Linked DNA regions of Macaca mulatta. The protein of the gene in region 5 interacts with the protein of the main gene of each other region in a pairwise test. Links are inferred from orthologs where the notes say so. Each region holds a gene or a part of one and is shown on either strand. Other genes may lie near its edges. The genes, in order: TMEM203, FDPS, ACSF2, VKORC1, CREB3, TMEM234 and RHEB.

Region 1 (3,168 bases), about 59 Mb from region 5:
TGATCCGCCCTCCTCAGCCTCCCAAAGTGCTGGGATTACAGGCGTGAGCCACCGCACCCGGCCTGCTTTTAATTATTTAGGGGTGTAAAAACCATCCTCAGCTCAAGGGTCACACAAAAACAGGCCTTAGGACATTGTTTGCTGATCCCCGCGCTACAGAGTGCCAAGGCCCACACAATACCACACACTGGCAAGAAGTCACGGGCTCTGGGGTCACAAACTATTCAACGGGTCTTCAACGTGAGCCTAGACTGTTGTCTTCACACAGGGTGGGGCGGGTGCCTGAGTTACCGGCCTCCTAGAGCAGGAAGGAGGGATTCTCCAGAACGAGTGATTCCCACCACCACCACCATCCACTAAGCTCTAGCCACAGGTTTCAACCCATCTGAAACTGCAGCTCTGTAACCAGTTACACCATGCAGCAGAGAGTATCTCAATATTCATCACATTTAACCTTTGAGGGGTACAGGCAACCACTATTCATTTCAGGAAAACATTCTCTTACTTTATTTGCATCTCAGCAAAGGTTCTCATTTGGCACCTGACTGGCATCAAACCAAAGTTCATAGGCCAACAAAGCTGGGCCACTCACAAGTTTCCCATTTGTAGGTCTCAGTGCCTATGAGTATCCGACACCTGTTCCTCTCTTCAGTCTCTCAGGGAGGCTTAAATCTGTCTCAGGTGTGCTAAGAGTGCCAGCCACAAGGTGGTGAAAAGGTCCACGGAACTGCAGTCTTCGCTGGGATAGGAAACCAAGCAGTGCCTGGACAGCAGAGCTCTTTTCGTGGGCAAGAGATAACCAGACAGGACCCTAATCGTGCTCTTATTCAACATTCTTCTCTCTCTGCCTAGACTGGAATAAAAAGCCAATCTCTCGTGGCACAGGGGAGATACAAGCTGGTTTACATTTGATCTAACAAAGGCATCTACCGAAGTCTGGTCTGGATGGACGGCACAGGGAGCTCTCAGGTCAGCGCTGCTGGTTGGAGGACATTCCTGAGTCCAGCTTTGCAGCCTCTGTGCAACAGTACTTTCCCAGGATCCACAGGAAATACTCAGAGTCCACCGGGACATTTTACTTATATTCAGCTTCCAAGTGTCAGAGGGGTTCAGGACTGCCTGGCCTGGGGGCCTCCTCAGGACCTCAATTCAGGATTATCTACTCAAAGCATTAAATAAAAAGAAATACATTTTCAGGATGAAGGCTGCTCTTTTAAACCCTGCTGAAGAAACCATTTCAGGCAGGATTGAAATAGGAAAACCGGGCACTCAGTTCGGCGCAAGCAGGAGTTGCCTTTAGACTAGAGAGCCTCTCCTCCGGTGCGGCGCAAGTAGGGCCTCGGCTTGAGGTCAGCATTCTAGCCGTCCAGCGCTCCCTCTCCGGCACCTCGGTGAGGCTAGTTGACCCGACAGGCGCGGATCATGAGCAGCTGCAGGAGAATGAAGACCGGGGACGTAATGAGGCCGAACCAGAGCTCCCGAGTCTGCTCCGCCAGCTTCTGGCACAACAGCATCTCGAAGACGAACTTGAGACTCAGGACCGTGAGGACCCAGAAAAGGCGGAGCACCGCCAGCCGCTTCTCTCCATCCTGGAAGAGGCGCACGGACACGATGGTGGTGAAGTAGGTGCTTAGCCCGTCAGCGGCGAAGAAAGGCACGAACACGTTCCACCAGGAGAGGCCCGGGACCAGGCCATCCACACGCAGTGCCAGCAGCACAGAGAACACCAGCAGGGCCAGCAGGTGCACGAAGATCTCGAAGGTGGCGAAGCCTAGCCACTGCACCAGCTCCCGGAGCGAGAAGAGCATCGCGCCCGTTGAGCGCGGGCCGGGACCCGGCCGAGCGTGCCACCCGCGGGGCTGCGTCTCCTCTCCCCGTGGCCCTCGCCCGCGCCTGCCGCCGCTGCTGCGAGCGAGAGGCAGAGAGCGGCCCCGCCACCCCCAGCCCTCGGCCCTGGTGCGCCGGCAATGCCCTGGCCCCGACCCGGGACTCAACCCTGGCCGCCGGTGGACGCCCGCCTCGATCGGACGCCATGCCCCACCGGGCGCGTCCCTAGTGCGTCACTTCCGGTCGACGGCGGAAGGCGGAGCGGTCCCTGTATCCCGGCCGGCGGGATCTACCTTCTAGTTCTTAGTCTCCGACCTGGAGCCGGGCGCGTCCAGATGCCGAACCCGCAGTTTCTGGTGCTCTTTGGCAGCCAGACAGGCACGGCTCAGGATGTGTCGGAGAGACTGGGTCGCGAGGCCCGGCGCCGGCGGCTTGGCTGCCGGGTGCAGGCCCTGGACTCCTACCCGGTGGTGAGGGCTAGCTAGGGCCTCGGCGTGGGGGACAAACAGGCCTGGCGTGCCCGCTTCTCGGGGTCATCGACCCAAAAGGCGTCGCATTATCTCTGAGAGCGGGTCTTTCCCTTATGGCGGATTTAGGGAAAGGGGAGGCTTGGGAAGAGGAGTTCAGTTTAGCACCTGGAGGAGGTTGGAACCTGAAAGAGAAGACGGTCTGGCCGCTCACATAAATTCCTCTGCCCTGTCAGCCTGAGTGAAGGAGAAGGGGGTCGAGTTTTGGGAAGGACGCCCAGTCCTTACAGCCGGAGGTCTTACGTGTGTGTGTCTTTTTGTTGAGGTGAATCTGATTAACGAGCCCCTGGTGATATTTGTTTGTGCAACTACAGGCCAAGGAGACCCCCCTGACAACATGAAGGTAAGGCTGGCCTGATGTGGCTCCTCAGATCCCTGCCCTCGACCCTCATCCCGTTTTCATTGCCTGGAGTCTAGGTGCAGTAAATAGCTCTCCTCTATCTCATGCATCTTCAGAGGTGGATTTGAGAGGACGTCCCTGAGTGGAGCTGGGGGCTCCAGTTGCTCTCTCTAATAAACGCTTCATAGCCACCAAATAGCCTTATTATCCATTTTAACCTTTCTTATCTTTCCAGGGCTATCTATATGTGCATCTAGTCTGGATCTTCTGTGTATTTCTAGACTGTATGACTCTCAGGGAACGTTGCTGAATTCTCTGACCATCTTTTAGGCACATATTCCATTCTTGGCACAGTCTGGTGCTGGGGATCCCGCTGTGAACCCAGTGCCATAGTTCTGTCCTGGCAGAGTTCATACTGTAGCAGAAGCACCTAATGGGCAATGACAGTGCCAGCGAACACCTGCAGCTGGGGAA
Region 2 (3,500 bases), on a different chromosome or scaffold from region 5:
ACCCTGAAACCAGCCAGATGAGCATGTCCTATAAAGGCCAAGGCTACCATGGGCACCCTCTGGGCATCGGGCCCTGTCTGCAGCAATACCTGCAGGAAGAGCTCGATCAGGTTCAGGTAATAGGGCTGCTCCCGGCAATAGAGCTTCAGCAGGCGGTAGATACATGCTTCCAGGAGGATAGCATCATTGATGGCATCCAAACCCACACCCGGCTATCATGACAGAGAAAAACAAGCAATCAATCTCTAGTCTCGGTTCATACTAAGAGCCATCATCCCAACACCTCAACCAGGCCGCACATACCACCTCCCTGTGGCCTGTCCCCATACCCACTGCTACTTTCCTGCCCACCATTACCTTCTGATACCAGCAGATCTGTCCACGGCGGGTGAGGGATGAATCCATGATGTCATCTGTCACCAGGAAGAAAGCTTGCAGCTAGGAAGAGTGGAATAAGACCTGCAGGGCTCATTACTGTTCCTTCTATCAGCAACAGAGCTGCTACTTTATATCTACATCTGTATATAGTTTTGCTTTTTTTTTTGGTGGGGGACAGAGTATCACCATTATCCAGTGCAGTGGTGCAATCACGACTCACTGTAGCCTCTACCTCCCAGGCTCAAGTGATCCTCCCACTTCAGCTTCCTGAGTACCTGAGACCACAGGCACACACCACATGCCTGACTTTTTTTTTTTTTTTCCAATTTATTTTTTGTAGAGACAGGGTCCTACTATGTTGCTCAGGCTGGTTTTGAACTCCTGGGTTCAAATGATCCTCCTGCCTCAGCCTCCCAAAGTACTGGGATTACAGGCATGAGGCACCACACCCGGCCACAGCTGCTGCTTTTGATAGTCCCTATGAGCTGGGAAAGTCAGGGTGGGGAGGCAGAAGGCTTCTATGCTATGGAGACTTGGAAAGTGACATAACCTGTTTGGCTAAGACTCCTCGCCTATAAAATGGAACTAAAACACTCTTGTTTTAGGTAAGAAACTAGAACAGATCTTTGACATCTCTAATGAGCCCTAGATTAGGCCTGGTATCAGGGAGATTAGGAAACACCTTCATATACCGTACTCTATTCTTGCCAAACACCTCAATGAATGCTTAAAGTAAGATTTATTTGTGTGATTGACTTTCCATTACTTCCTAAATAAAAGAAGGCTATTCCCACATTGCCCCCAGCACTGTGTTTGAACACCCCAGTGACTAGGAACACAGCCTTACCTAAAGGAGCTCCTTAGCAGTACAGGTTAATCAGGTGGAACTGAAATCTGACTTTGACCTATGAGTCTCAGACATCTTTAAACATTTTTTAACATTAATTTTAACTAACGGCTTACTCTTCTGAGTGCCCATCTGAAGGTACCTGAACGTATCGGGTTTCCCACTAGACCATGAACTCCTTGGAAGCAGGGACAGTGACTTCTCCCTCTTAGCATTTGCAGAGCCTAGCACAGCACTAGGCCTGGAGTGAGAGTCTCCTAAACACTTGTCTGACAAAGAAATTCAAGAATAAAACACTCTAACATTCCCTGTGATACTTCCTGCAGTCAGTCATACTATATGTTTTGGTTCCTTAAATAGCTTTTCTTTTCTTTTCTTTTTTTTGAGATAGAGTCTCACTCTGTCGCCCAGGCTGGAGTGCAGTGGCGCCACGTGGGCTCACTGCAAGCTCCTCCTCCCAGATTCAAGTGATTTTCCTGCCTCAGCCTCCCAAGTACTGGGACTACAGGCGCCCGCCACCACCAACTGCTAGCCTGGCTAATTTTTGTATTTTCATTCAGTAGAGATGGGGTTTTGCCACGTTGGGCAGGTTGGTCTTGAACTCCTGACCTCAAGTGATCTGCCTCCCAAAGTGCTGGGATCACAGGCATGAGCCACCGTGCCTGGTCTAATTTTGTATTTTTAGTAGAGATGGGGTTCCTCTATGTTGGTCAGGCTGGTCTCAAACTCCCGACCTCAGGTGATCCACCTACCTCAGCCTCCCAAAGTGCTGGGATTACAGGCATGAGCCACTACACTTGGCCTAGAAGACATGGTTTTTAAGACTTCATCCCATCCTAATCCTGTGTGCTGTAGTCGATCCACATTGCAAAGGAAGCATGCAACACCGCCTGCCAGAACCCAGCATGGGCCGTGGGGAAAGGACCGTTGCAACAACCACTGCTATTGTCATAGGCAGAGTCCTCAGGGAAGGAGGTATCCATCTGCACCTTTACCTCTGACCTAACCCCAGAAGAGTAGTGTGGAGGTCCTGAGCTTTCCACATCAAAGGCACATGTTTAATTGACTCTGTGTTTATTTGGAGTAGCATGGTTTCCCTGAAGCCACCCATTCACGGCCTCTCCCAAGGGTGACTGCAAGGACAATCTCATTTTGGCCACCACCACTCAACCATGATGGTCTCCAAGAGAATTAATTCCATGGCCTCCCCACATTTCCTCTGCCTCCTAGCACTGATTCTTAACCCCACCAGCACTTTCTATTTATTAGGGAAAATTAAAAAAAAAAAACCCAGGCCAGGCACAGTGGCTCACACCCGTTATCCCAGTACTTTGGGAGGCCGAGGCAGGCAGATCACTTGAGCCCAGGAGTTCAAGACTACCCTGGCCAACAAAGTGAGACTCCATCTCTACAAAAAAAACTATTAAAAAAGCCGGGCATGGTGGCGGGCGCCTGCAGTCTCAGCTACTTGAGAGGCTGAGGTGGAAGGATGGCTTCAGCCCAGGAGGTCATGGCTACAGTACGCCATGACTGTAGCACTGCACTCCAACCTGGGCAACAGAGTGAGACTCTGTCTCTAAAAAAAAAATTTAGGGCCGGGTGCGGTGGCTTAAGCCTGTAATCCCAGCACTTTGGGAGGCCGAGACGGGCGGATCACAAGGTCAGGAGATCAAGACCATCCTGGCTAACATGGTGAAACCCTGTCTCTACTAAAAAAAAATATAAAAAACTAGCCGGGCAAGGTGGCAGGCGTCTGTGGTCCCAGCTACTCGGGAGGCTGAGGCAGCAGAATGGCGTAAACCCAGGAGGCAGAGCTTGCAGTGAGCTGAGATCCGGCCACTGCACTCCAGCCTGGGCGACAGAGCGAGACTCCGTCTCAAAAAAAAAAAAAAAAAAAAAATTTAGACCAGGCGCGGTGGCTCACACCTGTAATCCCAACACTTTAGGAGGCCGAGATGGGCGGATCACTTGATGCCACAAGTTCAAGACCAGCCTCAGCAACATGGCGAAACCTAGTCTCTATTAAAAAAAAAAAAAAAAAAAAAAAAAAAATTAGCCAGGTAGAGGCTCGCTCCTGTAGTCTCAGCTACTTGGGATGTTGAGGTGGTAGGAGGGTGGCTTTTGCTCCGGAGGCAGAGATTCCAGTGAGCCAAGATCATGCCACTGCACTCCAGCCTGGGTAACAAAGTGAGACTCTGAATAAAAAAAAAAAAATTAAAAATTTTTAAAAACGCCGGGTGCGGTGGCTCGCACTTGTAATCCCAGCACTTTGGGA
Region 3 (3,868 bases), on a different chromosome or scaffold from region 5:
CATGCCTGTAATCCCAGCACTTTGGGAGGCTGAGGCAGGCAGATTGCTTGAGGTCAGGAGTTTGAGGACCAGCCTGGCCAACATGGTGAAACCTCGCCTCTACTAAAAATACAAAAATTAGTGGGGGTAGTGGTGGGTACCTGTAATCCGAGCTACGTGGGAGGGTGAGACAGGAGAATCACTTGAATCTGGGAGGCAGAGGTTGCGTGAGCTGAGATTGCACCTCTACACTCCTGCCTGGGTGACTCCGTCTCAAAAAACAACAACAAAAATGGGTTGGTATCTCAAAGGGATACCAAGGGTGAGGGTTAAATTAAGTAGATAATCCACATCAAGGTGCTCTGCACTCTCAATGACAAGGAATAGGAGGTCTGAAAGTGCTAGTTTCCCTCAGTGTCTTCCCTTCTCCATCCCATAGGAGCTGCCAAGAGAGCCCACCAGCAAGAGGCCAAAGAAAACAGAAGCTCTTTATGCCAAATCACAAGGACAGACAAGGGGAGTACGGAGGATGGACAGGAGGAGGGCCTGGGCAGACCCTTCCTCCCTCTTTATTCACAGATTTAGATGTCGTTCCATCTGCTCTCGAAGTTTGAATTTCTGGATCTAGAGGAAAGAAAAAGGAGTTAGGGTGACCAACTGTCTTGGTATGCCCAAGAATAAGGGGTTTCTCAGGCTTTTAGTGCCAAAACAGGGAAAGTCCCCAGGCAAACCAGGATTAGGTGACTTGGTCACCCTACTGCCAGCCTCTCCACACCCATTGCTGAAGCAAACAGAGGTGGGGCCCCATGGGACCCCAGAGCCCAGGCTGCCCTCCCTAGTCTCCTTCACCTTACACACCTTTCCTGAAGTGGTGAGGGGGTAGTTTGTGACGAACACGATGTACCTCGGAATCTTGAAGTGAGAGATCTGCAGACCAGAGGGAGGGAGGTAAGGCGTGAGGCTGGGCAAGCTCACAGGGGTATGGGAAGGGGACCGGGGCTGGCTTGGCCGGGAGTCAGCTTCGTCGAGGGCAGAGCAGCCCCCACCCCAGGCTGGTTGGCAGAGGAGTGGGCGAACAAAGAACCGAGCAGCATCAGCTTGGTTGGGCGGAGGCTCCCACCTTCCCTTTGCAGAAAGCTTTCATCTCCTCCGCCGTGGTCTCCTCCCCGTCCTTCAGCCGAATGCAGGCACAAATCTCTTCCCCCATCCGATCGTCCTTCACTCCCACGACCTTCCAGGGCCAGGGAAAAGTATCAGACATCACCTGGTTCATGTGTGTTTCCTGTTTCTGGGGGCTCACCTGAGCCGGGTGCCTCACCTGCACTTCCTGCACCTTCGGGTGCGTGTGAAAGAAGTCCTCGAGCTCTGCGGGGTAGATGTTCTCACCACCCCGGATGATCATATCCTTAGAGCGGCCCACGATCTTGCAGAAGCCCTGTTCGTTCATTGTGGCGATATCTCTGTAAGGAAAGCCCAGGGGTGACCTGTCACCTCTGCCTTGTTCACTCACTTGCTTGCTCACTCATGAAACATTTATTGACCACCTACTGTGTGTCTTCCACTGCTCTAGACTCTGGGAGACATAGCAGGAACAAGACACAGTTTCTGGAATTAATAGTCTAGTAAGGGGAAGGGAGGCAGACAAATACAAACCAATACCTATAACATATTCTCTCTCTCTTTCTCTTTCTCTTTCTCTCTCTCAACATATCTATACATATGCTTTTCACAGCTGGCTTCTTTCCGGGTCTCAACTCAAATGTCTCCTGACATCTTCTCTGTCCACTCAACCTAAGGGAAGCTCCCCTCCCCACCACAGCCACTCTTTCTCCTATAACCCTATTTTATTTTCTTGGTGTTTTTTGTTTGTTTGTTTGTTTTTGAGATGGAGTCTTGCTCTGTCGTGCAGGCTGGAGTGCAGTGGCACGTTCTCAGTTCACTGCAACCTCCACCTCCCAGGTTAAAGCGATTCTCCTGCATCAGCCTCCTGAGTAGCTGGGACTACAGGCACGCGCCACCATGCCTGGCTAATTTTTGTATTTTTAGTATAGGTGGGGTTTCGCTGTGTTGGCCAGGCTAGTCTCGAATTTCTGACCTGATGTGATCCACCCGCCTCAGCCTCCCAAAGTGCTGGGATTACAGGTGTGAGCCACTGTGCCTAGCCTATTTTCTTGGTGTTATTTATCGATGTCAGGCATCATCTGTCTTCCTCCAAAAAAAGGATCCTTCTCATCTTACTTTCCTCTGGACCTCCAGCGGTGAGAACAGTGCTAGCACATAAGGAATTCTAATAAGAATTTGCTGAGCTAACAAATGAGTATGAGTGACTGAATCTGGACTCAGCTTTTGCAGCTGCTGGTGTAGGATGATGACCCAGTTGATTTCTTCTGTGCTATGTATGATCATCCCCACCATATACATTTTGGAAATTAAGTCTCCAGCATGTGAGGGGTCATCTTGATACCCACATCCTCACGGTGCCAGGTTAATGTTCCCGGCTCAGCCTCAAGACCTCCAGCCTCCCCTCAGCAGCCAGAGCCTCCACCCCGCCCTGCCTTCTCACCCTGTCCGATACCACTTGTCCTGATCCACTGCTTCCCCCGTCTTCTGAGGCTCGCCCCAGTAGCCCAGCATGACGCAGTACCCTCGGATGCACAGCTCCCCGGGCGTGTTCAGCTCTGCCAGCATCCCCGCCTCCATGTTCATGATCCGGGCCTGGGACAGGACAGCCTCAGGTTGGGGCTTCCTGTCCTCTTGCTTCAGCATAGGTGGTCCTCGGAAATGGAGAGAGCTTTGCCTGCTCTCAACCCCCCAACTCAAGCACCTGGAATGAGGCCCCCTGGCTCTGCCTATCCCCATCCAGAGAAGGGAGACAAAGGCTAGAGTCGACCCAAAGCCAGTCAGAGACCTGAGCTGGGCATGAAAGAAGAGCTGAGGCCAAAGCTGGGAGTGCTGAGGAAACAGAGCAGGCAGGCAGCTGCTGCAAAGAAAGAGGTCTGTGGACTGCAGAGCCAGCTGAAGAATTATAAACTGTGGAGAGGAGAAGGGAGTCTCCTCTTACTTCCCATTAAACAGCAAATAAGCCAAAGAGGGTAAGGCACGGCAACACCATGTGAATAGGAGAGGCAGAGTCTGAAAGTCCGGTAGAGCAAAGAGCCATGGCCACTGTGCCAAGGAAAGCTGAGCCTCCATGTGCCTCAGTGTCTGCATCTGTGAAACGGGGTAAGTGATGTCTGCCCCTGTTTCCCTTCCAGGTGAGCATCCTAGTGAGAATGGCAGTGCAGCTGTAGGACACACGGGAGGGGGCTCACATCCCTACTCAAACCCTGGGTACAGGGCTGCTCTGGCGGGAGGGCAGGGCATATTCACACCAGGATAGTGGTCAGCACCAGCAGAAGCAGCTACTTGTGCACAGGGGCAGCAATCCCCCAGGGGTGGGAGCAGAAGGGTGCAGGGGAAATCAGGAGCCAGCTGGCACAGCCCCAGTGTTAGAGCAGGAAAGGAGGCATGGCTGGGGTTTAAGATTGAGATGCACTCTGGGGCAACCTTTGAGGGGCAAAGGGACCCCCCTAAAGGGATAGGCTGCTTGAGAAATGAAGTGTTTATGCCAAGCAAGAAGAGAAACTCTGCTAAAGCGAGAGGCGGGGACCACTGGAGGAAAAGAAGCTATGTAGGAAAACTCTCTGTGCTCTGGCTTCTCTTTGAGGCTACCCTGGCTGCCCTGAAACAGACAGTGGGCTTGGCAAAAACACACCTCAGACAGGAAGGGAGGCTGCGGAGAAGTTCAGCTGGCAGCGGCTCACAGCCACCGTTCCAGCTTTCCCCCTTTCATGCTTAGCCCACAGAGAACGCTCCAGGCCAGGCCTAGCACACCGCTGCTGCTGGGGAG
Region 4 (4,209 bases), on a different chromosome or scaffold from region 5:
TCAAGAGACTGAGACCATCCTGGCCAAGAGGGTGAAACCCTCTCTACTAAAAATACGAAAATGAGCTGGGCGTGGTGGCACGCGCCCGTAGTCCCAGCTACTCGGGAGGCTGACACAGAATTGTTTGAACCGGGGTGGCAGAGGTTGCAGTGAGCCAAGATCACGCGACTGCCCTCCAGCCTGGTGACAGAGCAAGACTATGTCTCAAAAAATAAAAAATAAAATAAAAATTAGCTGGGTGCAGTGGCATGTAACTCTAGTCCCAGCTACTCAGGAGGATCACTTGAGCCAGGAGTTCCAGATTACAGTGAGCTATGATTGTGCCACTGCACTTCAGCCTGGGCAACAGAGCAAGATGATTTCTTAAAAAAAAAAAAAAAAAAAAAAAAAAGGCTTTGACAGGTTCCCTCCAAGGAACTTGCCATTGCCCAGGGAGGGAAAGTTCTGAGCAATAAAATTTCCTAAATAAATCGGCCAAGTCTGAACCATGTGTCAGCCAGGGACCGTGGTGCTGGGCCTCCCTCGGTGATGCCTTCTCTGGAGCTGGGAAGGGTGACTCAAAGGGAGTGTGGGGGCCTGTTGGGAAGGGTGGTAATAGGTAGTCTCATCTCCAGGGTATGGCATCAGCAAGGCCTGGGGCGCCATCGTCTCCCACTCCCTTGGTTCCCCTATCTGTTCAATAATTCCTGGGACCAGATACAAATTTTCCTGCGGAGCACTAAATGAGATAAAAGATAGCTCATGTTCAGCTTCTCCTTAAAAAGGAATTTCGGCATCTTTTCCACAAAACTGGGGTGCTGGTGGGGCATGGTAGCTCATGCCTGTAATCCCCCCAGCACCTTGGGAGGCTGAGGCAGACAGACTGCTTGAGACCAGCCTGGGCAACATGGCGAGACACTGTCTCTACCAAAAAAAACACAAAAATTAGCTGGGTATAGTGGTGCACGCCTGTGATTCCAGCTACTCGGGAGGCTAAGGTGGGAGGATCACTTGGGCAGGGAGGCAGAGGTTGCTATGAGCTGAGATCGCACCAGTGCACGCTAAGGGCATCCTAGACCTCAGTTTGGGCAGCAGAGCCAGACCCTGTCTCAAAACAACAACAAATAAAAAACCTGGGGACCTAGGATGTCTTTAAGGGCCCTTTAGCCTCTAACAGTACTTAAACCAATTAAAAGACTCCTGTTAGTTACCTCCCCACCTCTCCACCTGCAGGATGCTCCGTGATGAGCAGCTAGCTGGCTATCAGCTGTGGATCACCAAGATTGCATGGAGTGGGGCTGAGCTGACCAAGGGGGATGAGGGCCGGGGCCTGCAGGGAGGGGGCAGAGCCACTCACCTAACAATAGCTGTAGTGTGTAGAAGATGCAACCAAATATGCTGTTGGATTGATTGAGGATGCTGTCCGGTCCCAGCACATGCTCCACCAGCCCGAAGCCCCTGCCCCACCTGGCAGAGGGGTGGTGTGGGGGGGTGGAACCAGGTTAGGAATGTCAACCTAGTGCCTTGGACCCTACCCCGGAAAGGTGATTTCCAAGAAGCCACCTGGGTTATCCTCTGTTCCCCACCTCCTATCCTAGACCAAGGGTCGATGACCTCCAGTCAGCAGACACTTTTGGCCACGTCAGGATTCCATGTCACTGACCCTATCCTCCCCTCTCCCCAGACCAGGCCTGACGTGGCTACTTGGTAGGCCCTGCTTTTCATCTAGACCTTAAGTAATTCTTTTTTTTTTTTTTTTTTTTTTTTGAGACAGAGTCTCACTCTGTGGCCCATGCTGGAGTGCAGTGGCGCGATCTTGGCTCACTGAAACCTCCGCCTCTCGGGTTCAAGTGATTCTCCTGCCTTAGGCCCCCAAGTAGCCGGGATTACAGGAGCCTGCAATAGCGCAGGGATAATTTTTCTATTTTTGGTAGAGACAGGCTTTCACCATGTTGGCCAGGCTGGTAAACTGACTTCAAGTGATCCAGCCGCCTCGGCCTCCCAAAGTGCTGGGATTACAGGAGTGAGCCACCGCGCCCGACCCTTAAGTAATTCTTAAAATGGCAAGGCTGGTATAACGGTTCACTCGGTTTTGCATCAGAGACTGGGAGTCGGCGGCAGATTATCTTTGCCCTGGACCCCAGAATCTCCAGCTCCCTGGCCACGCACTCGCCTCCTAGGTATTCCGTCATTATGCTAACGCCTGGCCATCACGCACAGCCAGACCGGGCCACCTTGTTCCCGGGCGCAGCCATCGCCAACCCCCCTTCACCTGCGCGCCGTCCTTGAGACCATCGTCAATCTCTGCCGCCATCCTGCCTCCCCGCCTTTCCCGGTCACCGTTATTCCTTGGCATCCAACTCACATGCGAGTCCCCGGAATAATCCCAGTCCCCAGCACTGTCTGGTCCCTTGCCTCGCACTCTTATTTCGAACACCAGTATCTCTGGGTAGCTCAGCCCCCGTGCAACGACCCCGCGAGCAGTCCAGCCCCTTGTCCGTTCCCTGGGCACACCGATCCCACACTCCAGAATAATCATCTGGCAATCTGGCCGCCCCGCTCCGAGGCCCCACGCCTCCCACTCCCGTGCACACCTGGAGGAGAAGACGCGGGAACAGCTGATGGCGGTGCCCACGTCGCAGAGCGCGCGGTAATCCCTGTCCCGGGCGCGCGCCGCCTTCACGTGCAGCGCGTAGAGCGAAAGCACTAGGCCGGCCAAGCAAAGAGCGAGCCGCACCCAGCCAGGGTTCCCCCAGGTGCTGCCCATTATCTCCAGGTTCCGTCCGAGGCGCCAGCAGAGAAAACCAGCCACGGAGCAGGGGCGGGGCGGGGAATGGCCACGCCCCTCCTGCCCCTCTGACTTGGCGATTGGCCGGCCGGGTTCGCACTCCGCGATCCAAACGGCTGTTCCCGGGAGCTAGTCAGGCGAGAGAGTTAGGAAAACCGCTAAGAACGCCCAGACTGGTGAAGCGGGTAAGAGACGTGGGGAATCGCGGCCCCAGCGGCTGCCAGGCATGATGGGAGTTGTAGTCGGGGCGGCTGCAAGGCGTCAAGGGAAATGACGTCTCCAGAGATTTAAAAACTGTTTTGGCCGGGGGCGGTGACTCACGCCTGTAATCCCAGCACTTTGGGAGGCCGAGGCTGGCGGATTACCTGAGGTCAGGAGTTCGAGACCAGCCTCGCCAACATGGTGAAACCCCGTCTCTACTAAAAATACAAAAATTAGCCGGGCATGGTGGCACACGCCTGTAATCCCAGCTACTCTGGGGGCTGAGGCAGGAGAATTCCTTGAGCTGGGGAGACGGAAGTTGCAATGAGCCGAGATCGTGCCACTGCACTCCAGCCTGGCCGACAGAGTGAGACTGTCTCAAAAAAAAAAAAAAAAAAAATTGCGTTAATGTGGCTAACAGCATTTGGGCCTACCCTATGCCAAGTCCTGTTGTAAGAACTGGAGCATCCAGGACCTAGAGACCAGAGGATCAGGGGATCCAGTGAATACCGCGATCCGATTCGGGAACCAAGCATTTCCCCTGAAACTATTTCAGGCACCATTCGGGCTGCAGCCTCGCATCCTCCCAGGTCCTGCCTCACCAGCGCTTCTTGCTGGTGGGTCTTTCCCTTACATTCACAGAACCACTCCTTTGGCCACACACACCCTTGACAGTATCCTAACTTCTCTACTATCATGGCACCTGCCTGACAACACCTGAGCTTGGATCAACTCAACAGTCAGTCTCTCCTTTCCAAGCTGTGGGCCTGCTGAGGTCTTTCCTTCACAGACATCCCATCTGATGGTGACCCATCTCTCCTACACCTTCAACCTCTCCGTCCTCCCCATCTACATTGCAACTTGTTTCTCTTTCCCATCTCAGAAACAGCAACACATCTCCCTTCACTAAGAGGTCCTTCAGCAGCCTCCCCTCCCTGCATTAACAGGCAAGTTTTTGGAAAGATTCTACACTCCCAGTCTCTACTTCCTCACTTCTTCCTCACTGCCCACGCCATAAACTAGCTGCTGCCTCCAGCACTGCCCTGACACCTAGTGGCTGGTGTCACCAAGACGCTAGACCCAGTGGTTATTGATTTATTAATTTACTTATTTTGAGACGGAGTCTCACTTTGTCACCCAGGCTGGAGTGCAGAGGTGCCATCTCGGCTCACTGCAACCTCCGCCTCCAGGGTTCGTTTTTCTCCTGCCTCAGCCCCTCGAGTAGTTTGGACTACAGGTGC
Region 5 (4,139 bases):
TCCTGCGGCTCTCTTGAGCAGATCTTTTATTTCGAATCTTCCTCCGCACACGTTTCAGAATTTGTTCCTCCATCTGAAAGGAAACAAGGAAAGGGGTATCATTAGAGGGACTCTAGAACAAGAAGTTGAAAGGCAACTGAGATCCATCTCTTTCCAATACAGAAATCCCTTCTACAGCTTCCCTGACCAATAGGCATTCACATTCTTTCTGAATGCCTCCACGGACCATGTGTTAACCCTAACAAGCCAGACCATTTTAAACTATTAAAAAAAAAAATTGGTCAGGCAATATTCAAGTGACATGGCTCATGCCTGTAATCCCAACACTTTGGGGAGCTAAGGCAGGAGGACCGCTTGAGCCCAGGAGTTTGAGACCAGCCTGAGCAACACAGTGAGACCTTGTCTCTACTAAAAATAAATTAGCCGGGTGTGGTGGCACATGCCTGTGGTCCCTGCTCCTCAGGAGGCTGAGGAAGGACAATCGCTTGAGCCTGAGAGGTCAAAGCTGTAGTGAGCCATGATCTCACCACTATTCTCCAACCTGGGCAGTAAAGCAAGAATCTGTCTTCAAACAAAAACTTCCTTATCCTGAACCAACAGCTGTCTCCTTATAATTTCTATACGTTGGACTTACCTAGTATCTCTGGGGCCAAATAGAATGAACCCTGTTTAGCTATTTTCAGGCATTTGACATTTCCTCAGAGAAAAAAAGTTCAAGAAAAAAACAGCTTAGACAAAAATTTTAACTCATCTTCTTAGGATAGACTGCATCTTCTTAGTATCTGTCAAAGATGTGCTCTAGCCAGTATAAAGGAAAGCAAGATAGTGACTTGTGGAGACAATAACTCTTGCTACAGTTTCCAAATCCCATTAACTTTCCTAGTAGCCACATCGCACTGCTGACTCATCTTGTACTTTGAAGGAATTAAAATTCTTTACTTTTGGAGGCCAAGGTGGGTAGATCACTTGAGCACAGGCGTTCAAGACCAGCCTGGCAACAAGGCAAAACCCCATCTCTACTAAAAACACCAAAAAAAAAATTTGCCAGGCAGGGTGGTGTGCACCTGTAGTCTCAGCTACTCAGGAGGCTGAGGTGGGAGAATCACCTAAGCCCAGAAATTCAAGGCTGCAGTGTGCCATGATCACATCACTGCACTCCAGCCTGTGCAACAGAACAAGACCTTGTCAAAAAAAAAAAAAAATTCCTGGAACTTTTCTATTAATGAGCACTGATTTCATCATAGTATCCCAGTACTCTGCTTGTGAAGTTGCCACTGATTGCTTAAAACTGGAAACTAAGGATTTTGCATTTATTCATGTACTGCTTAGTCCAATCGTGTTGAACTCTCTAAACAGTTCTACCATTCAGCAAGAGGTGGATTACTATGAAGCCAATGAAGTGTCAAGGCCCTTCACTTACACAGTCCTTTCCAAGGCCCAATACTAATGTTGCACTGATAATTTTGAGGGTTTTTTTTGTTTGTTTTTTAACAGAACACCAAAATTTGTGTAAGCCCAACGAAAATGAGGATCTGCCTTGCATCTAGCATATTGGGTACCTGCCTCAACTTCCTATTAGCAATAAATCTGCTAAGTTTCTCACCTCAATCCTTTTTTAAAGTTATTGATATAAAGTTAACAGAATTGGCCTACTTGAGACTTTTAATCCCTTTTCAGCCTTTGCTCAACTAACGAGAGTCTTACCTTAGTGAGAGGAAGTGTCTCAGGCAGAATAAGCCCCTCCTTCTCCAATAGACTCTTCTCCTCATCTGTCAGTACCAGCCTAACAATATCCTAGGGTAACCAGAAAGTGGGCGGCAGTTGCATGGGGATGTCACAGAGGAATGGGGAATCCTGCCCCCACCTGAGGAATGTGAGAGTAATCATCCTGAAAATCAAGTCAAGTACCTGCTCTGCCAGCTCCTCCATATGCTGTGGAGTCATCTGGGTCCCCTCTTTTCTACAGCTCTCACTCTCTGCAAAAGGGAACGTATGAATAGCCAGGCCCATGAACCCTGTCCTCCCCCCAAACTTATTTCAGACTCACCTAGATCCATAGAGACAGGTTCTCGTGGGAGGGAGTAGGTGTGGTCATGGTGGACAAGGCAGGGGTTGGAGTTGCTGAGAACGTTCAACGACGACGCTGGGGGACTCAGCAGGGAGCTCAGCAAATCATCTACCTCCCAGTCGCTCGGTACCTGCGCAGGGTTCCAGTGAACAGGCCTTGACCTATCACCATCCCCTGACCTCATGGACATCCCACGCTTTCCCCAGTCAGAACCCCAACGCACCTCAGAAAGCGGCAGCTCCCAGTCCAGTGGGGCCCTCACGGACTCATCGGGCGCCGTCCTCAAATCTCCACTTTCCTCTAGCAGGAAGCCCAGTAGGTCTTGGTCACCAGCGTCCAATTCCAGCTCCATTTGGGACAACTACGGAAAGGGTGGGCTACCGGGCCCCAACGTCCGAAGCCCAGACACGAGCCCCAGGCCAGCTGTAGGCCTCGGGCACCTATCCACTGTCCCTCTACGGCCGGGCTTCCCGGCCGGGGGCTTTCCGTAGCCCTCTCCGGACCCGCCTCCCAGGCTCAATTCTCCTCAGCCTCCAACGCAGCGAAAGTGACGCACCCCACCCCGTGGCACTGTGGGACTTGGAGTTCCCTCCAACTGAGAAGAGGCCTGGGTGCCGCGCCACGTCCCAGGGGCTATGCAAATGTAGGGGACGGCCCTGCTGCCGCCTCGCACCCCGAGGGCGGGGGTTCCGGGGCTCCGGCTCCGCCTTCTCCCCCAAGCTAGAAAAAGGAAGAGTTCTGGCCTGAAAGGGAACTCGGGCGTCGTCTTGGCGTTCTCTCCGGATTGCGCCGCACCCTCGCTTCCTGCCAGGGAGGGGCTGCCGGCCTTTGGCGGCCCCCGAGCATCGAGAACGCGGCCAGAGCAGCTTCCTGCCTGCCCCCCGCGACCATAGAGCGCTGCCCCAGGGCGCCGCCCGCGGGTGGGGGACGTTCCCAGGACGGAAGTGGCCGAGAGAGTGTCGAAGGGAGGGCGAGGCCGGAGCCCGAGGGCGACCCGAGAAGCGGCAGGGCAGCGGGCCGGCGGGCCGGCAGGCGGGGCGCAGAGCCGGGCAGCGCAGGTAGGCCAGACCGGGCCGGGCGGGGGCCTTAGGGTGGGGCCGCGGAGCCTGGCCCCGGGGGCGGGCGGGGCCCTGCCTCTCCTGCGTGTCCGGTTCGGGTCCTGTTAGTTGGAGAGGTCAGCGTCCAGCGCATCTCAACTTGGGCTCATCGTGAAGTAGGCCGTCTTAGGGGAGACAGGCCTCTCCTGGGGGCAGTCCTCTGCCTGGGATAGGCTTTGGGGAGCGTGAGGAGTCGGGTAGCAGCGGGGCGCAGGACGGGGACGGGCTTTGGTGTTAGCTGATAGCGGCCATGTGGGTAGGAAAGCTTTGGGTGAGTTGGGGATTAGGTGGGGTCCGTTTAGGAATCAAGGGTCGCTATAGGAGTTAAAAGCTGGGGTTAAAACTTAAGAGTTAGTAGTGTGAGTCAGGTCCGTTTTAGGTAGGTAAGGTTTAGATTAAGGTCATTATTTTGTTTGCTGGGATGGCCATCATACGTCATAATTTGAGTTCAGGGTCGGGTTAAGGGTCAACAACAGGAATCAGGTTAGAGCCTGTTTGAGGGATTAAAGAATGTTGACATGGTCGGTATTAAGGATAAACAGTGAAAGCGTGAGTTAGGAATCAAGTTACAAATGAACTTTAGGCTTAGGGGTCAACATTTAGGGTTAACATCAGGCGATTTGGTGCTAAAGGTAAAACTTAGATCAGTATCAGGGATCAGGGATTGGATATGAGTCTCTGCTGGGAAAGGGATGAATGTCCAAGCCGGTAGTGGGAATCAGGAAACAAATTAGAGGTGGGGTTAATGTTAGGAATTTGGGGCAACTTTAGGGGTTGTAATTGAGGCTAGCATAGTTGGCCTTGAGCAGATGAAATTTAAGAGGTTGGCAGTAGGTAAATGCCCTTCTTTTGTAGGGAAGTCCTTTATTCCTGTGTAGTTACAGGGGCTTCTTTTCACCCAGAGAGATAACAAACTAATTTCAGGCTAGTGTTCTGGCTTATTGCAGGCATCTGGGATTCCAGCATCTTTATTC
Region 6 (2,451 bases), on a different chromosome or scaffold from region 5:
CTTCCTTGGGGTCGGGGACCTCATGGCTGAGAGCTAGAGGCTGGCCATACTCACGGCTCCATTCTGTGTGGCCTTCCACCTCCTCCAGAGGGCAGCACAGATAGCGGAAGAGGCCCTGTCCCTGGAAAACCAGCCTGGGGCTGGAGCTGCTATCTCAGCCTCAGCCCCAGCTCTGCCATCTTGAGAGCCAGCAGCTCCAGAGGGGAACTGGGGACCACCACTCTGGCCACCTTTTGTCCTCAGCCTCCAGCAGCTTGTTCCTCAGGAGCCAGCACCTCCCCTGGGCTCACAGGGTACACTGCGGCCTCCTCAGCCCTCCCAGTTCTCCTGTTCCTAAACCCACAGCCCAGCCTTCCCTTCCTCTGAGCAGAGCAGCCCTGGCTTGGGGGCTATTTCCTTATGGGATTCTCTAGCCACAGAAAGGAGTAGCTGACTGAGCCTGGGGGACAGGCTACAAACGGGGGAGCGGGTTTGTCACAATAAAAGAATACTTACTAACCTCTGTTTACCAGATTTATTGACAGCTACTACTCGCCAGGTGTGCTGGGCGCTGGAGTCAGGTGGGGCTGGGGCTCACAGCTGTCTACCTGTTTAAGAGGGGCTGGCAGTGAGAATTTCTGCCCACCTCATGGGTGAGGCAGGCAAGGCTAATAGACAGCTCATCTGCATCTGCCACTCCGATGTACCTTCTTCCCCTCAGTTCCACTCCTCATTCAGCCAAGGCGCTCTGACTGAGCCCTGGAGGCCTCCCGTTTGCATTTCTGGCTCAAAGTCTGCAGCTGGCCCTTTCCATGCAGCTGGCGTTCTGCAGTCCATGGAACCTGCCACTGTGATAGTCCAGATCAGGCCACAGTAATGGTGGCTGGGCTGGGGGCCTGAGATGTCAGCAGGAAGAGAGCTGCTGGGGCAGAAAGGTTGCTGAAGGTGAGCGTAGAGTCTCCTGTGCTAAATCCCAGCAGCTGAACAGCACTTGAAGGTTACAAAACCCTTTCACTCTTGTTCTCTTATTGTGATCCATGAGGTAGCTGTTATCCCCGTAAGAGAGGAGGAAGCTGAAGCCAGAGAGGGGAAGTGCTAGGTCCATCCACTCACTGCCAGCACTTCATGGCCCAGGTGCTTCCTGGAGGCAGCAGAGCTGGAGGTGGGTTCAGCCCACTCAAAGGGTAGACGGCTGCCCCTGGGTCTTACTCACTGAGCTTGTGATGCAGAGTGAAATTCCTATCACAGTGAGCACCATGCCAGCAACTGCTCCTGGGATAATAGGCAGAAATCAAGGGGGTCTGAGCTTAGCCAGGCCAGTAGGAGCTGGTACAGGGCTGGAGGAAGGGCTCAGATGGGGTCTGGTCCTGAATCCCGCCCCAGCCTCTGTCCCCAAACTGTCCAGGGCAAGGGAACTCTGAAGGCCACAAGGAAGCAGAACAGCTGCAGAGGAAAGGGCAGGATGGGAAAAGGCCGTGCCCTCACCCACTCTGGGGAGATGGGTTCTGGGAAGGAACTAACACAGGTATGTCGATGTCCAAAGAGCTGAGTCCTGCACTCGCAGTAGCCTGACTTACGTTTTCCACCAATATCTTCTCCAAGGGCCTTGCCAACAATCAGTGTGAAGATTATGGCCAGAGAGTTACAGATGGGCACAGCTAGGGTCAGATCTGGGTGGTCAGAATGGAAAGAATGCCTGAGATGCAACAAATGCCTTTCTAGGCACAAAACACTTCCATTATCATCGTTTCATACCTTTAAAAAAGGTATCATAACCCCATCTTCCAGCTGAAGTCACAGCAAATCTCAGGACTCAAACCCACATCTCCTGACTCCACGTTCAGTGCTTCCCAGGATTCCAGCATGAAGACCTGAACTCTGAGGTCTGGGACCAGCCTGGTTTGATAATGAGAATGAGGTCTTTGCACTCAGAGAGAACTTGTGAGATCTCAAGGACATCTGCACAGACAGGCAGGCACCCAAATCCCAAAGGATGCAGTAGAGAGTCAAGTAACACCAAGCACAGCCACTATTGTAATACCATGGCCTGGGTGCTTTGTGTACATATCTCAATTTTCACAACACTGCAAGAAGGGGATTATCACCATTTTGCATAAAGGAAACAAAGGCTCAAAGAAGTCACATAAACTAAGGCAAGTTGAGGATTTGAACTAAGGCTTGCCTGACTCCAAAACCTGCGCTGTTACTGAGCTGTGGATACAGACAAAGCAGAACATCAGGTGAAGCACATTTTGTTTCTGTTTCAGCCCAAGCTCAGGCCTTATGGAGTTAAAAATAAAAAGCGTCAGAAGGAAGAAGCCAGGGCCTGTTCAGGACATTCGGCTGGACCAATGGTGTGGGTAGAGGGCATCATAGCCTAGGATCTGTTCCTTAATTCTGAAGTTCCAAGGGGCTGATTGCCAATAAGCAAACTTGAAAAAGAGTAATGGAGTTGGCCGGGCGCGGTGGCTC
Region 7 (4,106 bases), on a different chromosome or scaffold from region 5:
ATCCTACTAGTCAAACTGGTTTAATGTACTTAAGAGAACATTCTAAGAAAGATGTGGAGCCTTTTTCTATGGCTCTACCCCCAGAATATAGGAGAAAACAGCTCAGCATCACAAAAGACCACAATCTAGAAACACATGTGCTCAGATTTCTCTGGTATAGCACCATTTGCAAGCTCCCAGAAGTGAGCATGCTGAGTAATCCTCAAAAGGGTGGCTTACTAGACGAAACCTGCTGGCAAAACCTAATCTCCTTCCCCTGCAAAAGACCCCACAAACTACAAAATATCCCGGCTCATAATACACTTTAAAATCAAATGGGGCTGGGTGTGGTGGTTCACGCCTATAATCCCAGCACTTTGGGAGGCCAAGGTGGGAGGACCACCTGAGGTCAGGTGTTTGAGACCAGCCTGAGGGTTGGCCATGTGGTGAAACCTGTCTCTACTAAAAATACAAAATCAGCCGGGTGTAGTGGTGCATGCCTGTAGTGCCAGCTACTCTGGAGGCTGAGGCAGGAGAATCGCTTGAGCCCTGGACGTGGAGGATGCAGTGAGCCAAGATCGCGCCATTGCACTCCAGCCTGGGTGGCAAGAGCCAAACTCTGTCTCAAAAAAAAAAAAAAAAATCAAATACAAGATTGGGAGCAACTTAACCTCTCCAAAATCGTTTAATATGACTACGCTTGAAAATAAGTATGGAGAAGTGGGGTAGGTTGCAGAAATATGAAATACTGAAGACACAAAATAGGGACTAAAAGTGACCCTGTAACCCACCGAAGACTAAGTTAGCACAGTATTTAACAAGCAGCACTTTAAAATAATGCTTGTGAAGAGACGGCTAAGGGGTGTCCTGTCACATCTCCGTCCTCAGGAGGAAGCTGAATAGAGGGGAAGATAAAACAGAATGGATTTCAACTGGACACAAGGAACTTCTTTAGCAAAAAAAACACAAAAAAACAAAAAAACAACCAAAAAAAACCCACCAAAAAGTGATAAAACTAGCCCTGCTTACCAAAGACTAGAGCTACCATTTCAACATTTTAAAAGGGTAAATCAGTCAGGATCTTTAGGTCATTCTCTTGGGTTGAAATCAAGTAGCCGAGGTACTTGACCATAATGTGATTATTCAGGGGCTATTTTCAAATAGTTGGCAATAAGTACTTACTTGACTGACTAGGGAGGGCTCACCCAAGAGCCAGGACACCTCGCGCTCCCAACTCCTCAAAATGCAGAGGAGGAAATCAAGAGAACAGAGACAAGAGCATGGATTCAGGCTGCCAATAAAGGTTGGATCCCAGGTTCCATGTAGATATTTGAACAGTTAGTGACTTTGAACCCCTCCATTTGATTCGTGGTTACTTCCTGGCTGCAGCACCGCATCGCACAAGAGTTCCCCCTACGACTCTGGGCACCCCGCATCTCTAGCCAAGCTTCTCTCAGCCCTTGACTTCCTCCAGCTCTCGACGGAGAGGTAGTAAAAGGATGAGTAAGCATGCAGTGGCTGATCTTGGTCAAAGAGCACAGACCCTGGCACCGGCGGTGGAAAGCGCAGTTGGGGAGTGCATCCCGCGAGCGGCTGGCAGGTACAAGCTTCCCACGACACATGCTGTCACCCCGTTCCGCAATCACCGGAGCCTTTGAACCCTCGCTTTCACCTCCCCATCCCCCCAAATGTGGCCCGGCGCACGTCTTCTATAGACAGTTACTTCAAAACAGCCCGAAAAGATGAACGTAATTTCTCCAGGCTTCCGGATGTCGGCAGACAATACAGCCTCACCCTGAAGCGTGTCTAAGTTCGATCGCTCCGGTTTCTCACAGGCCAGAAAACCGCTTGTTCTGTGACACCCCGTCCGCCCCCCAACCCGACCCTAAGCCACCTTATTCAGCAGTAAGGCGACGCTAGGAACCGTTTCAAATGTACGTCAACCTTTTGGGGGAAGAAAAAGAAAACAAAAAGACTTCGGAATTACTTCAACAGCGTGGTTGCAAGTACCTGACCTTATTCCTTCCCGAAGAAATATAGGCCACTGAGAGATCAGACATTCCTTTTTCTCTGCCTTCCTACCCGGGCCGCCAGCAGCATCTCCAGGGCCTCCAGAGGGGCCTCTTTTGGGGGCTCGCCTAGGTTTCCTATGTACAAAACTTGCGTCCAGAGACCAAACGTTCTCTAAGTCCCTAGTTTTCTTTACAAGGGTAAACTTCACCACAGATGGAATGAAGCCGAGGTGCTGCTTCCTTTGTTAAAATCCCACGGACTTTCTTTTCCTTGCATCGGGGGCGGGGTGGGGGAGACCGCCAGCCCCGGTCACGCGCGCCCGCGGCGAAGGCGGGGAGGCAGGTGTGACTCCTTCCTCGCGGGAGCCTCTAGCGCGGCTCCCTGGCGCCGCCTCATTTCCCCAGACGAGCCCCGGACTCCTCGGCGGCCGGCGGCCCCCGCCCCGCGCCTCCCACGCCCTCCGCCCGGCCGCCACCTGCCCGCCCGGCCCGCGGAGGGCGCCCGGCTACCGCAGCTCCTCGACCGGTGCGGACGCCGCCCCGACCGCCACCACCTCCGCTCAAAATGGTGGTTACGAAACGCGCGGCCCCCGCCCGCCCCGCCACATGGCCGCGCCGGCTCCAAACTTCGCAGGCCCGGCAGCGACCCGGCTTCCAGGCGAGGCCCCGGCGGCGCGAGGAGGCCGCGCGACCACCGGCCACTCACCCACAGACCGGTAGCCCAGGATCGCGATCTTCCGGGACTTGGACTGCGGCATCTTGGCGGCCTCCTCAGCCCCGGCCCAACCACATCAACCGCGGCGGCGGCGGCTCCTGCTGCTGCGATCGGCGGCGGCCGCGCCGGGGGAGAGCGGCATACAGAGCAGGGGCGGCGGCGGGCGCGGCTGCCTCTAGCTCGCTCGCTCGCTCGCTCGCGCGCTCCCAACCGCCCGGAACCGACCGCGCGGCGGCGCCCCTCCCCCCACAACACACCCACGTGACCGGCCGGCGTCAGCACCGCCCCTCCTCGCGCCGTGGCCCGCCGCCTCCGCCCCCTCGAAATACGCGGGGGTGCGTCGGGGCGACGTTTTACTTTAAAGGCAAAAAAAGGGGACGCCGCGATGCCCCCAGAAAAGTCACGACTGAAACTCGCTGCGTCATGACCCTCCCACCTTCTTCCGCCGCTTTTTAATTACGCCATTCTCCCCGAGCGCCGATTGGACGGCACCTGCACAGCCGCGCGATGACGTGTCAGAAACTCCATCTCCCATTGGGGGAGGCAAGGAGGCGGGGCGGAGGAGGCGGGGCTGGCCACCCAGGAGCTAAAAATACACCGCGCTGCTACAGCGCGGTTGGGCGCCGGCGAGGTTTGAAGGCTTCAAACTTCCAACCGGTTGGGGGCGGGCGGGAGAGGCGGAGAGACAAACGGTGGCTCCCCGGTGATTGGCCGGAACGGAGCGCAGGGCGGGGCAATAGGTGGGAGGTGCGGTGATTGGTGATAAGCTGAGCGGTTGGCGGGTTCGCGCCCGCTGAGCCCGTGAAGGGCGCGAGGCTCGTGGCCGGGGCGGGCGGTGGTTGGGCTAGCTCCTCCCTCGGGGCTTTTTTGAAAATTCCCCTTGAGCTGCGTTAGCGTTCGTGTCTGGGTTTGAGGATGTAGTGGTGACTAAGCGTCACCCACGGCCGAAGGACTGTGGGAAGCATGGAGTCTGCGTTAATTCAAAGTGTTAGGAATTTCATTAAAAACAGGGCGAGCCTCGTCAGTTCTGGTGTCTGCTTCGCTTCGCGCGGAGCTCGGCGCACATCCTGGAACAACGCCGGGGCGGGAAGCCGGTTCTCCGCCAGCGCCAGGGCGGCTGGTGCGGCGGGCAGGCCGGAGCCGGGTGCCAGGAACGCCTCGGGCCGCGGTGTGGGCACAGCCTTCCCAGGGGTGCAGTGCAGAGGGGCGCGGGAAGAGAATCCGGGCCGGGAACGCAGGTGCCGTTGAGGGACGAGCCTCCAGGCAGGCCCGGAGTGGTGGCTGCTGGTGGGCTTGGCACTTGCCGAGTTAGCAGAGGCTCCGCCGCGCCGGGGAACCCGCCCCTATTCTGCCGAGGCTGTTTGGCAGTGGGGACCTGCAGAGGCCGGGCATGGCCCTTC

The links.
Region 1: the proteins of CREB3 (region 5) and TMEM203 interact in a two-hybrid assay, tested with the Homo sapiens proteins (2 studies listed by BioGRID and IntAct). The two-hybrid records come from large-scale screens. The link is inferred for Macaca mulatta from reciprocal best matches to the Homo sapiens genes CREB3 and TMEM203.
Region 2: the proteins of CREB3 (region 5) and FDPS interact in a two-hybrid assay, tested with the Homo sapiens proteins (2 studies listed by BioGRID and IntAct). The two-hybrid records come from large-scale screens. The link is inferred for Macaca mulatta from reciprocal best matches to the Homo sapiens genes CREB3 and FDPS.
Region 3: the proteins of CREB3 (region 5) and ACSF2 interact in a two-hybrid assay, tested with the Homo sapiens proteins (2 studies listed by BioGRID and IntAct). The two-hybrid records come from large-scale screens. The link is inferred for Macaca mulatta from reciprocal best matches to the Homo sapiens genes CREB3 and ACSF2.
Region 4: the proteins of CREB3 (region 5) and VKORC1 interact in a two-hybrid assay, tested with the Homo sapiens proteins (2 studies listed by BioGRID and IntAct). The two-hybrid records come from large-scale screens. The link is inferred for Macaca mulatta from reciprocal best matches to the Homo sapiens genes CREB3 and VKORC1.
Region 6: the proteins of CREB3 (region 5) and TMEM234 interact in a two-hybrid assay, tested with the Homo sapiens proteins (2 studies listed by BioGRID and IntAct). The two-hybrid records come from large-scale screens. The link is inferred for Macaca mulatta from reciprocal best matches to the Homo sapiens genes CREB3 and TMEM234.
Region 7: the proteins of CREB3 (region 5) and RHEB interact in a two-hybrid assay, tested with the Homo sapiens proteins (2 studies listed by BioGRID and IntAct). The two-hybrid records come from large-scale screens. The link is inferred for Macaca mulatta from reciprocal best matches to the Homo sapiens genes CREB3 and RHEB.

What each region holds. Positions count from the first base shown.
Region 1 is NC_133420.1:5,248,848-5,252,015, reverse strand, and holds TMEM203 (transmembrane protein 203), read right to left. Parts: upstream 2,018-3,168; 5' UTR 1,809-2,017; coding exon 1,398-1,808; 3' UTR 501-1,397; downstream 1-500. Other genes in the region: NDOR1 (NADPH-dependent diflavin oxidoreductase 1), read left to right, coding at 2,163-2,297, 2,620-2,697. UniProt on the Homo sapiens protein: Involved in the regulation of cellular calcium homeotasis. Required for spermatogenesis. Acts as a regulator of STING-mediated inflammatory signaling in macrophages.
Region 2 is NC_133406.1:111,664,803-111,668,302, forward strand, and holds part of FDPS (farnesyl pyrophosphate synthase), read right to left. Parts: exon of another isoform or gene 3,096-3,500; intron 1,626-3,095; exon of another isoform or gene 439-1,625; coding exon 358-438; intron 213-357; coding exon 90-212; intron 1-89. UniProt on the Homo sapiens protein: Key enzyme in isoprenoid biosynthesis which catalyzes the formation of farnesyl diphosphate (FPP), a precursor for several classes of essential metabolites including sterols, dolichols, carotenoids, and ubiquinones.
Region 3 is NC_133421.1:59,531,465-59,535,332, forward strand, and holds the end of ACSF2 (medium-chain acyl-CoA ligase ACSF2, mitochondrial), read right to left. Parts: intron 2,695-3,868; coding exon 2,543-2,694; intron 1,440-2,542; coding exon 1,298-1,439; intron 1,211-1,297; coding exon 1,100-1,210; intron 907-1,099; coding exon 838-906; intron 604-837; coding exon 553-603; 3' UTR 501-552; downstream 1-500. UniProt on the Homo sapiens protein: Acyl-CoA synthases catalyze the initial reaction in fatty acid metabolism, by forming a thioester with CoA. Has some preference toward medium-chain substrates. Plays a role in adipocyte differentiation.
Region 4 is NC_133425.1:29,731,042-29,735,250, forward strand, and holds the start of VKORC1 (vitamin K epoxide reductase complex subunit 1), read right to left. Parts: upstream 2,801-4,209; 5' UTR 2,747-2,800; coding exon 2,574-2,746; intron 1,447-2,573; coding exon 1,337-1,446; intron 904-1,336; coding exon 820-903; intron 1-819.
Region 5 is NC_133420.1:63,961,932-63,966,070, forward strand, and holds the start of CREB3 (cyclic AMP-responsive element-binding protein 3), read right to left. Parts: upstream 2,801-4,139; 5' UTR 2,421-2,800; coding exon 2,292-2,420; intron 2,199-2,291; coding exon 2,048-2,198; intron 1,977-2,047; coding exon 1,909-1,976; intron 1,795-1,908; coding exon 1,705-1,794; intron 74-1,704; coding exon 1-73. UniProt on the Homo sapiens protein: Endoplasmic reticulum (ER)-bound sequence-specific transcription factor that directly binds DNA and activates transcription. Plays a role in the unfolded protein response (UPR), promoting cell survival versus ER stress-induced apoptotic cell death.
Region 6 is NC_133406.1:208,667,128-208,669,578, reverse strand, and holds the end of TMEM234 (transmembrane protein 234), read right to left. Parts: intron 1,650-2,451; coding exon 1,557-1,649; intron 1,252-1,556; coding exon 1,193-1,251; intron 899-1,192; exon of another isoform or gene 828-898; coding exon 714-827; coding exon of another isoform or gene 697-713; 3' UTR 687-696; exon of another isoform or gene 588-686; 3' UTR 501-587; downstream 1-500.
Region 7 is NC_133408.1:190,942,373-190,946,478, forward strand, and holds the start of RHEB (GTP-binding protein Rheb), read right to left. Parts: upstream 2,801-4,106; 5' UTR 2,750-2,800; coding exon 2,698-2,749; intron 1-2,697. UniProt on the Homo sapiens protein: Small GTPase that acts as an allosteric activator of the canonical mTORC1 complex, an evolutionarily conserved central nutrient sensor that stimulates anabolic reactions and macromolecule biosynthesis to promote cellular biomass generation and growth.